2 linked regions of the Rattus norvegicus genome follow. The protein of the gene in region 2 purifies or fractionates together with the protein of the main gene of each other region. This does not show direct contact. Links are inferred from orthologs where the notes say so. Each region holds a gene or a part of one and is shown on either strand. Other genes may lie near its edges. The genes, in order: Zfp746 and Eif3l.

What was found.
Region 1: the proteins of Eif3l (region 2) and Zfp746 purify together in Homo sapiens (affinity purification with mass spectrometry; 3 studies listed by BioGRID and IntAct, counting the BioPlex papers as one, with this or other methods). This does not show direct contact. The link is inferred for Rattus norvegicus from reciprocal best matches to the Homo sapiens genes EIF3L and ZNF746.

What each region holds. Positions count from the first base shown.
Region 1 is NC_086022.1:78,403,046-78,406,856, forward strand, and holds part of Zfp746 (zinc finger protein 746), read right to left. Parts: coding exon 3,593-3,811; intron 3,464-3,592; coding exon 3,382-3,463; intron 2,581-3,381; coding exon 2,467-2,580; intron 1-2,466.
Region 2 is NC_086025.1:112,531,473-112,536,017, reverse strand, and holds the start of Eif3l (eukaryotic translation initiation factor 3 subunit L), read right to left. Parts: upstream 3,005-4,545; 5' UTR 2,887-3,004; coding exon 2,682-2,886; intron 1,714-2,681; coding exon 1,559-1,713; intron 1-1,558. UniProt on the Homo sapiens protein: Component of the eukaryotic translation initiation factor 3 (eIF-3) complex, which is required for several steps in the initiation of protein synthesis.

The sequences.
Region 1 (3,811 bases), on a different chromosome or scaffold from region 2:
GAGCTCACCAGGTATGGTCCTGTGACCTGGACTTTCCAGGCTCCGGGTAGGGTATAATGACCCAGCTGTGGTATTCAGTAATAACAGAAAACGGATTAAGTCAGTGAGGATGGTGACAAACTCATGAGAAAGAGGCACCCAGATGAAACGGATGACTTAGAGGATGTCCTTAGACTATAGTAGCTAGGTGAGCAGAGCTACAATTATGACTTCAGAGCAGCTGACCCAGAACAGCCAGAATAGGAGTTGGAGGGCCCTAAACGAATGTTGTTCTGGAACTGCTGTGTAGTCCAGGCTGGCCTTGAACTCACAAAACTCTGCCTGCCTCTGCCTCCCAAGTGTGGGATCAAAGGTATTACCACTGCCGCCTGGCAGATTCATTTTGTCTTCTGTGTGTGAATGTTCAGCTCATATGTATGTATGTGTACCACATGTGTGCCTGATGCCTAAGGTTGTCAGAAGGTGTCAGATCTCTTACAACTGGAGTTACAGATGGTTGCAAAACACCATGCAGGTGCTAAGAGCAGAACCTGGGTTCTTTTTAAGAGCAACACATGTTGTTAACCACTGAGCTGTCTCTCTAGTCCCTGAGAGTACGTTTTTAAAATTAAAAATGGCCTTTTAATACTAAATTGAAATACTTGGTTTGTGAGCCCTATATAAACAGGGCTAGGTTTGGCCTAGGAGTAGTACTTTATCAACCTCTGAGCTAGTGAGGGAACTGAGGTGATCTGGTGATTGCTGGCTGATAAGGAGCTCCCACTAAATGGTCAGGAATACCAGGTGAGTGCTGCAGGTTTATAGGTTTGCCACTGGCAGCTGTCTGAGTGCAGGTGCAGAGCAGACAGTCAATTTTCGGGATTACAGTTTTGTCAAGCAGAGTGAATATAGGGAAAGTGAGAGGAGGATGAGGAGTATGAAGGCTTAGAAGGTCCTATAGACTGAAGACCTGTTGGATCAGAGGTTCAGACTGGAAGAACCAGGAGCAGTAAGTAGCTGTGGAGTCCATACTAGAAATGTGGAAGGAATAAGGAAGCCATAACCGTGCCAAGACAGTGAAGAGGGTAAAGCCACCACATGGATATAGCAATCAGCAAGAGTAGGGAAGAAGAGGATGGCAAGGTGCTCAGAGGTCTAACATTTTAGCTCTCAAGACAAGGTTTCTAGAGAGAGGGAGGAAGGGAGGGAGGGAGGTAGGTAGGTGTGTGTGTGTTTGAGTGTGCTCATGGGTCAGTGATGAGGAGCAAGGACACCTGACTTTTGAAAGCACAATGCCAAAGCACACGGGAAAGGACAAACAGCTGTAGGGCAGCAGCACGTGGGAAGAGTCAAGACTCAGCCTGAGCTGATAGATGGAATACACTGGACCCAGGAGTACTGCTGTGCATGGTAGGTCCTGTAAAGCACCATGGAGATCACAGGAGGTGAAGAGAAGAGTCCCGACAAGGGCATGCACCAACTCAATCACCCCAGATGACTGGACTGGGGAGGGAAGAGCAGACAGGTTCCAATGGACAATGGAGTGAGGGCTAGCAACTAGCCGTTTCTTGGACCTTATTGTTACAAACATTCAGAAATAAAAGCAGGCACCAGTAACCTCTCACCCTTGGCTTTGGAAGTCAAGGCCATGTGTTCCCCATCTCTTTCAGGGAAAGAACTCAACAGGCACCTTTCCACCATCCAGTTGGCACTGTTCCATGTGCTCAGCTCTAGACTTGTTTCTGCCCTTGTCTGACTTACATGAAGTACACATGTACAACACATAGAAGGTAACCACAGGAAGTCGGAGTGATAGGTCAAGGACACAAACCCAAGGACAGGCAAGGGAGGAGGCAGAGGTTGAGTAGAGACAATGTCTCTCACCAAAGGACCCAGCAAGGTCTTCCTTGCAGCATCCTAGCATCCTGTCCTCCCTAAACATGTAGAGGTGCTGACTGGCTGCAGGGAAATCTCAGACACTGTTTAGTATTAACATCAGCTGAATAAACGCCTGATTCCAATTTCACTGGACCACACAGCTTGACAATGGGTTCTGAAACTCCTAGTTATGTTTAAGGTTGGATGACTCAGGGCTGGGGATTTAGCTCAGTGGTAGAGCGCTTACCTAGGAAGCGCAAGGCCCCTAGGTTCGGTCCCCAGCTCCGAAAAAAAGAACCAAAAAAAAAAAAAAGGTTGGATGACTCCTTCAATGGTTCTGAACAAGCTCGTCTTCTACTCTCTCTCCCTCCCTCTTCTCTCATCCTCTAATTCTGTGCCCCTGCTTCTGGCTCTGCTATCAATGTCCAGGAGGGAAATGACTAGTTTCTACAACATAGCTGAGTAATCCGGAGTTATGACTCAACCATGAAAGATTTAGATTTGAAACGTCCTCTCTGTCTCTAGGAAGAGTCACACTATCCTGGACCTTTACTCTTAAGTGTTCATTTGGTCACTTGCTGTGTCCCTGACCTTTTCCCAACCCTTCACCTGGACTTGGGTCCACAGGAACCTCCGGGACCTTGGGGCCAGTGCGACGCCAGGTGCATGGCTCCTTGCCTTGTTCAATCTGGGAGAGGACCTCGGGTTTGGAGATGGCATAGTCTGAGGAAAGACAGGAGGTTAATCTTGCCACATTCTCATCAGAGCTGGGACAGGCAATAGTAAAATCACTAACAGCCTAGAAACTAAATGTCTTGAGTGGTGCAGAAGAACAGTTATCAATGGTAGGCATTCTCCTCAAAGTCTTCGAGCAGTCCTGTGTAGAGTCCAGAGGGTGGGAAAGGTGCTATTGCACATGAATAATGCAAGTGAAAGACCCTACCCCCTAGTCGTCTGTCCACATAGCTGGTGGTGCTGGACAAGGCATGTCTGCAAAGCAGAATCCCACCAAATACTCTTGGCCAGGAAGGAAGACTAAGAAGAGGGTCTTTCAGAACAGTAGCTCCAGGGGTGGGAGGAGCAGGGCTTTGGGGCAGAGAAAGAACGTCTGTCTTGAGAGGCAAGGTCTACTCTATTATCACAGACCCTGTGCTGTGTCACATAAAAGCCATCCAATCCATGTTAAGAGAACAATTCCTTTGCTAAAGTGGAGTTGGTTAAAAATACACTGCAGAGCTGCCAGCACACCTGTACTCCAGTCTCAGCCAAACTGGAGATGTCAATTCTCTGGGCCTAGTGAGAACGGAGGTCACCACTTTCCTCAGTCTGCTACTTCGTCAAGCAGAAGGGAATATCTGACTCTACCTTACAATATGAGGTGGGAAGACAGAAAGGTGGGGGAAAAGGAATCTCCTTGCTCAAATTATCTAGGACTCTGCATATGACTGTCATGAAAACAACCATATCACAAAGGGAGGTCTGGAACTTGTAAAATCATGCTTTCCAGAGGTGTGTTAGGCTTACCCAGGGAAACCAGTGTCTCGTAGTTGCCCCTCATCACATGCTTGTAGAGCTCCTTCTGCCAGTCTTCCAGCTTGCCCCACTCCTGATCAGAGAAACACACAGCCACGTCATCAAAGGTCAGGAGCACCTGAAACCAGTGTCATACTCGCCCACCCTCACACTCTCAGGCATGGACCCTCAGGCTAACCACACCAGGGCTCCCAAAGGCTACCTTGGGGACCTCGCCCTTGCTGCCAGGGGGCAGCCGCAGGATCCAGAAGTTTCGGTTGCGTAGCAGATTCTCCACATTCTCCAGCCGCCGCTGCAGCAGGCCGTACTCCTGCAGCAGGGTTCCCAGCACGGCCCACTTGCCCTCCAGCTGGTTGCTGAACTCCACAGCTGTCTTCTCACAGTCAGCCAGCTTCTTCTCCGCCATCCCAGTTCGACCTTC
Region 2 (4,545 bases):
TTGAATTGTACAGTCATAATCTCATTTGGTAACTAAGCTTAAATCATCTTTGTTTGGGTATAGAATTTATTTGTCAAAAAAGTTTAAAAGTACAAGGTTTAGAGCCAGTCCTTTTATTGTTGTCATTACAAACTTCTGAGTTGATTACACCTGTGAGTTAAGATTCAAATAGCAAAGTCATGGCTCTGAGTTTGTAAGAGTACTTTCAAGATAAAATTTAGGATATGGAGACAATAGTTCAGATTACCTTATATAGATAGATGGTTTTCAAAAACGTCAGATATCCACAAAATTTGAGATTTAAAGTTATTTATCTTTCGTTGAGACATATCTGCTCCTAACAGTTCCCCTTTGGCAGATTTAATGAAGAATTTGAACATCTCTACCTCCAGGTGAGGCAATACTTTGTGGTTAGGCAGCCACTGGACAAAACTGCCTATTTCATCCGCAGACTAATACTGTCTAGAGAAGGACAAATTATGCAGAATAGTTGACTGATAAACTCTGCCAAGACAGGGTGATCAGCCCTTCAAAATCTGCATTTCGAGAGTCTGTCAGTTGATTTTGGGCCAGAAGGCTGAAGACTTGCGCTCACATGTTGCTAACAGGGGACTGTGCTAGTGGAGATTTGTCTCTACAACCTCTCAGTTCTGGAAGCCGTGTTAGGCTTCCCATGTGTATAGATATTTGGTCACTCCCAGACAAGCGCTCTACCACTGAGCTAAATCCCCCAATCCCTTGAAAAGGCTTTTTAACTGGACAAAAAGGGGGAAATGTTGTGGTTTGCCCTGAAGTTATCTGTATTTTGATGCTAATTCCACTGCCCCAAGGACAGCTACCTAGTCTCCGGAATCAGATGACTTCACCAGAACCTCCCCATTGAATTTGTAAAGTACAGGTGAGGGGCAGGTACAGGATAGAAGGAGGCCTGTCATTGGAAGAGAAGGAAGGATGGGCAGGAGAGAAGTTTGAAGGAAGAGGAGGAGACTAGAGGAGAAAGGAAGAGACAGGAGAGAGAAGGTGAGAAGCCATGGCAGGTGATGTTAAGATTCTGCTCTGTGTATTTACAGGTTGTTATTAATGTTCCTAAGGGATGGATGGTTCTGGGCTTTGTATGTTTAAGTGGACAATTATATCTTATCAATTGGGTCAAAGAAAAAAACAAACAAACAAAAAACCCCTACGTGTCTCGGGAATTTGTTTTTGCTTTTGGAGACAGGTTCTTATTTATATAGAAGCCTGGCTGACCTTGAACTTGCTATGGCGACCAGGGTGGCCTTGAACTTGTGGTGCTCCTGCTGCCCATGCTTCCCCAGAGTGCATGCGCAACCCATGCCCAGCTTTAACTCTAGTAAAGAGCTCTCACTCTCGTGTTCTGAAAACAGGACACAGACTCCAAGAGTACTCACTGCAGTATGGCCAGCCAACCAAGTCATCCAGCACAGAGTCTTCAGGCTCAGCTCTCAACCGGTGTGTGGGGTGGGGATAGGGGGTGTTTCCTGGCTACTCAGCAGGTCAGTGTTCTTGAAGTCGGAACAGAGGAGACAGGTGTACTTACTTTCTTGTTTAGCTCAATATTCTCCAGCACCTTGATAGCCTGGTAGTAATCCCCCAGTAGAGAATGTAGGCGCAGAAGCCCCACCAGGCTGAAGTAGCCAAGCATCTTGTAGAGGGAGTGTCGTCCATATTCCCCAGCCACACTTTCGGGGTCACCTGTGAGGGACAGATGCCATGCTGTTTCCAAGGGGAAGATAAAACAGGCCAGGCCTCCGAAAAAAAGAATAAAAAAAAAAAAACAAAAACAAACAAAAACAAACAAAACAAAACAAAACAAAAACAAAACAAAACAGGCCAGGCCTGACCACCACTGCCAGGTCCCATGTAACCAGGTAACCTCCTATACCACGGAACACCTCTGCCCAGTAATCTCAGGAACCTGAACCTGGCTGTGTTCCCGGCTTCTGCTGACTAACAGCTGCTTTGAGAAGGGCAGTTCATTTGCTGATTGTTTCTGTTCTTATCCTCACATACCTGTTCCTCTTAAATTTGAGTTTGTTCTTGGAACGAGCTTCTGCGCTCCTCCCAGGTGTAGTGAATAGGAGTGGGTTTATTTCAGACTTGGGTTTGTTATTAAAGTTTCCTGCCTGGCGGTGGACAACCCAGCACTCAGGAGGCAGAGGCAGGTGAATCTGAGTTCAAGGACAGCCTGGTCTATGAGGAGAAACCCTGTCTTGAAACATAAATGGTCTGATGCTCCAAGTAGAGCTGGCTTTTGTAGGAGACTTTGGGCTCCCATTTCCCAGGGTCATACCTACAACTAGAGTGGTGACATATAAATAATCAGAACCTTATGGTTCTCAATAAGGAAGAGCGGGTAAAAGGGCTCAGCATTGGCCCAAGTTTCAATCCTGAAATCCATGTTACGGTAGAAGGCATCAACTTCTGCACGAGCTCACGCGCCCACCATCATTCACACATATTCACAGTATTTTTTTTGGTTTTTTTTTGGAGCTGGGGACCGAACCCAGGGCCTAAGCGCTCTACCACTGAGCTAAATCCCCAACCCACAGTATTTTTTTTAACATATAAGGCATTTCCAACAAAAACTCTGAGCGGTATTAATCCAGACAAAGGTTCAAGACACAGCGGCAGTGGAACAGGCAGATCTCAGACACACTCACCTCCACTGGTGTACACCTCCAGCTGCCGGTTGATGTTGGATTTGTCCACCAGAGAATGCAGCACGTTGAGGACGCTGTGCACGTTCCAGATCTTAGGGTTGGATCTCAGGAAGTCGATCTCTTCCTCTGACTTCTTGGCCGTCTTGCAGCGATACTGACTGAATGACTGGAACTGTTGCAGAAGGAAACAATGTGGCAGGGGCATAAATCCAAGTGACAGTCACATGCGGAGAATGATGTGACACGGGCTTTCATTAAACTTTTCAGAGGTGGAAATAGCAAAGCTATCTGGCTCAGGTGGCCTCAAACTTCCACACATCCTGTTTTTGCCTAAGTACTGGGATGAAGACGAAGGGTATGTCTTCAAGTCACAGCAGATGGTGAAATAAAGCATCAACTGTAGGGCTGGAGAGCTGGCTCAGTGGTAAAGAACACTCTTTCAGAGGTCCTGAGTTCAAATCCCAGCACCCACATGGTGGCTCACAGCCATCTGGAATGGGGATCCGATGCCCTCTTCTGGCACAAAGGTTCCAGATAGAACACTTGCACATGAAAGAAATAAACCTTAAAAAAAAGCATATTACTTTAAGTAACAGATAAATTCATATAAACACCTATGCGCCAATGTCCCGAGACTTACTGATACAAACAGGCACTTTCATGTTATCTGAGGACTGAAAACACTAAACTACACCAAAAAGGGTGGTAGCAAGTGTCTTTAATCCCAGCAGCAGAAGGTAGATGTCTGTGGATTCAAGTGCAGCCAGGTTCACAAAGTGAGTTCCACATAGTAAAACCCTGTCTCAATTTAAAAGAAAAGAGTGCCAAGAAGGTGCCACACCCACTGTCTAGTGTGCTGGCCTGAAGACTCTCAAGGGCACTTACTGACTGATCCTCAAAGCCCTTAACAAAAGAACAGCAGCTAAGCCAAGGGATTATGCTTATCTTGGGATACAGCTTGGCCGGAGGATTCTCCTCCTTTCTCCTGAGTCAAAAGGTCAGCCAACGGGGTTGGGGATTTAGCTCAGTGGTAGAGCGCTTGCCTAGGAAGCGCAAGGCCCTGGGTTCGGTCCCCAGCTCCGAAAAAAAGAACCAAAATAAAAAAAAAAAAAAAAAAAAAAAAAAAAAGAAAATGTGTGCTTGCTGCCTCCTAAGAGGTAAGGTGCTAGGGTCATGGGATGCTGATTCATAGGACAATCGAAGGAATCCTGGAGTAAAAGACAAGACTGATATGTAAAAACAAACAAACAAACAAACAAACAAACAAAAACCGAAAAACCTAGGCGAGGTGAGCCAGCAGAGAGCAATGGCAGTTCTTTAGAATTTTTCTCTACTGAGAGCAGAGTTGTCCGGAGATCTCTGGAGAGCAAAAGCAGCTCTTCAAGAATTCTTTTCTGGGGCTGGGGATTTAGCTCAGTGGTAGAGCGCTTACCTAGGAAGCGCAAGGCCCTGGGTTCGGTCCCCAGCTCCGAAAAAAAGAAAAAAAAAAAAAAAAAAAAAAAAAGGTCAGCCAACTATTCTCTTCAGAAAACCATTCTAACCCAGAGCCCAGAGCCCCAGGGCCTCAGGGCCCCAGGGCCACGCAGCCATGATAGAGACATAATTCAACACCGACTATAGCTACTGTCTGTTGAATTACTTATTTGAGGTTAAGGCTGAGGCTGAACAGACAGACACCTGGTAGATGAACTCATCGATGATGTCCCAGAGCCACTGGTTGGGGAGTTCAAGGGGAGCAGGTCCATCAGCGTCTATAGAGAGAACAAGAAAGTCAGATTCCAGGCAGGGACTTGTCGTCTATCAGAGCAGGGCTACAGAGTGCTCATCGTAATCTCCCTCATCAAAAGAACCACCAAACCTCCCT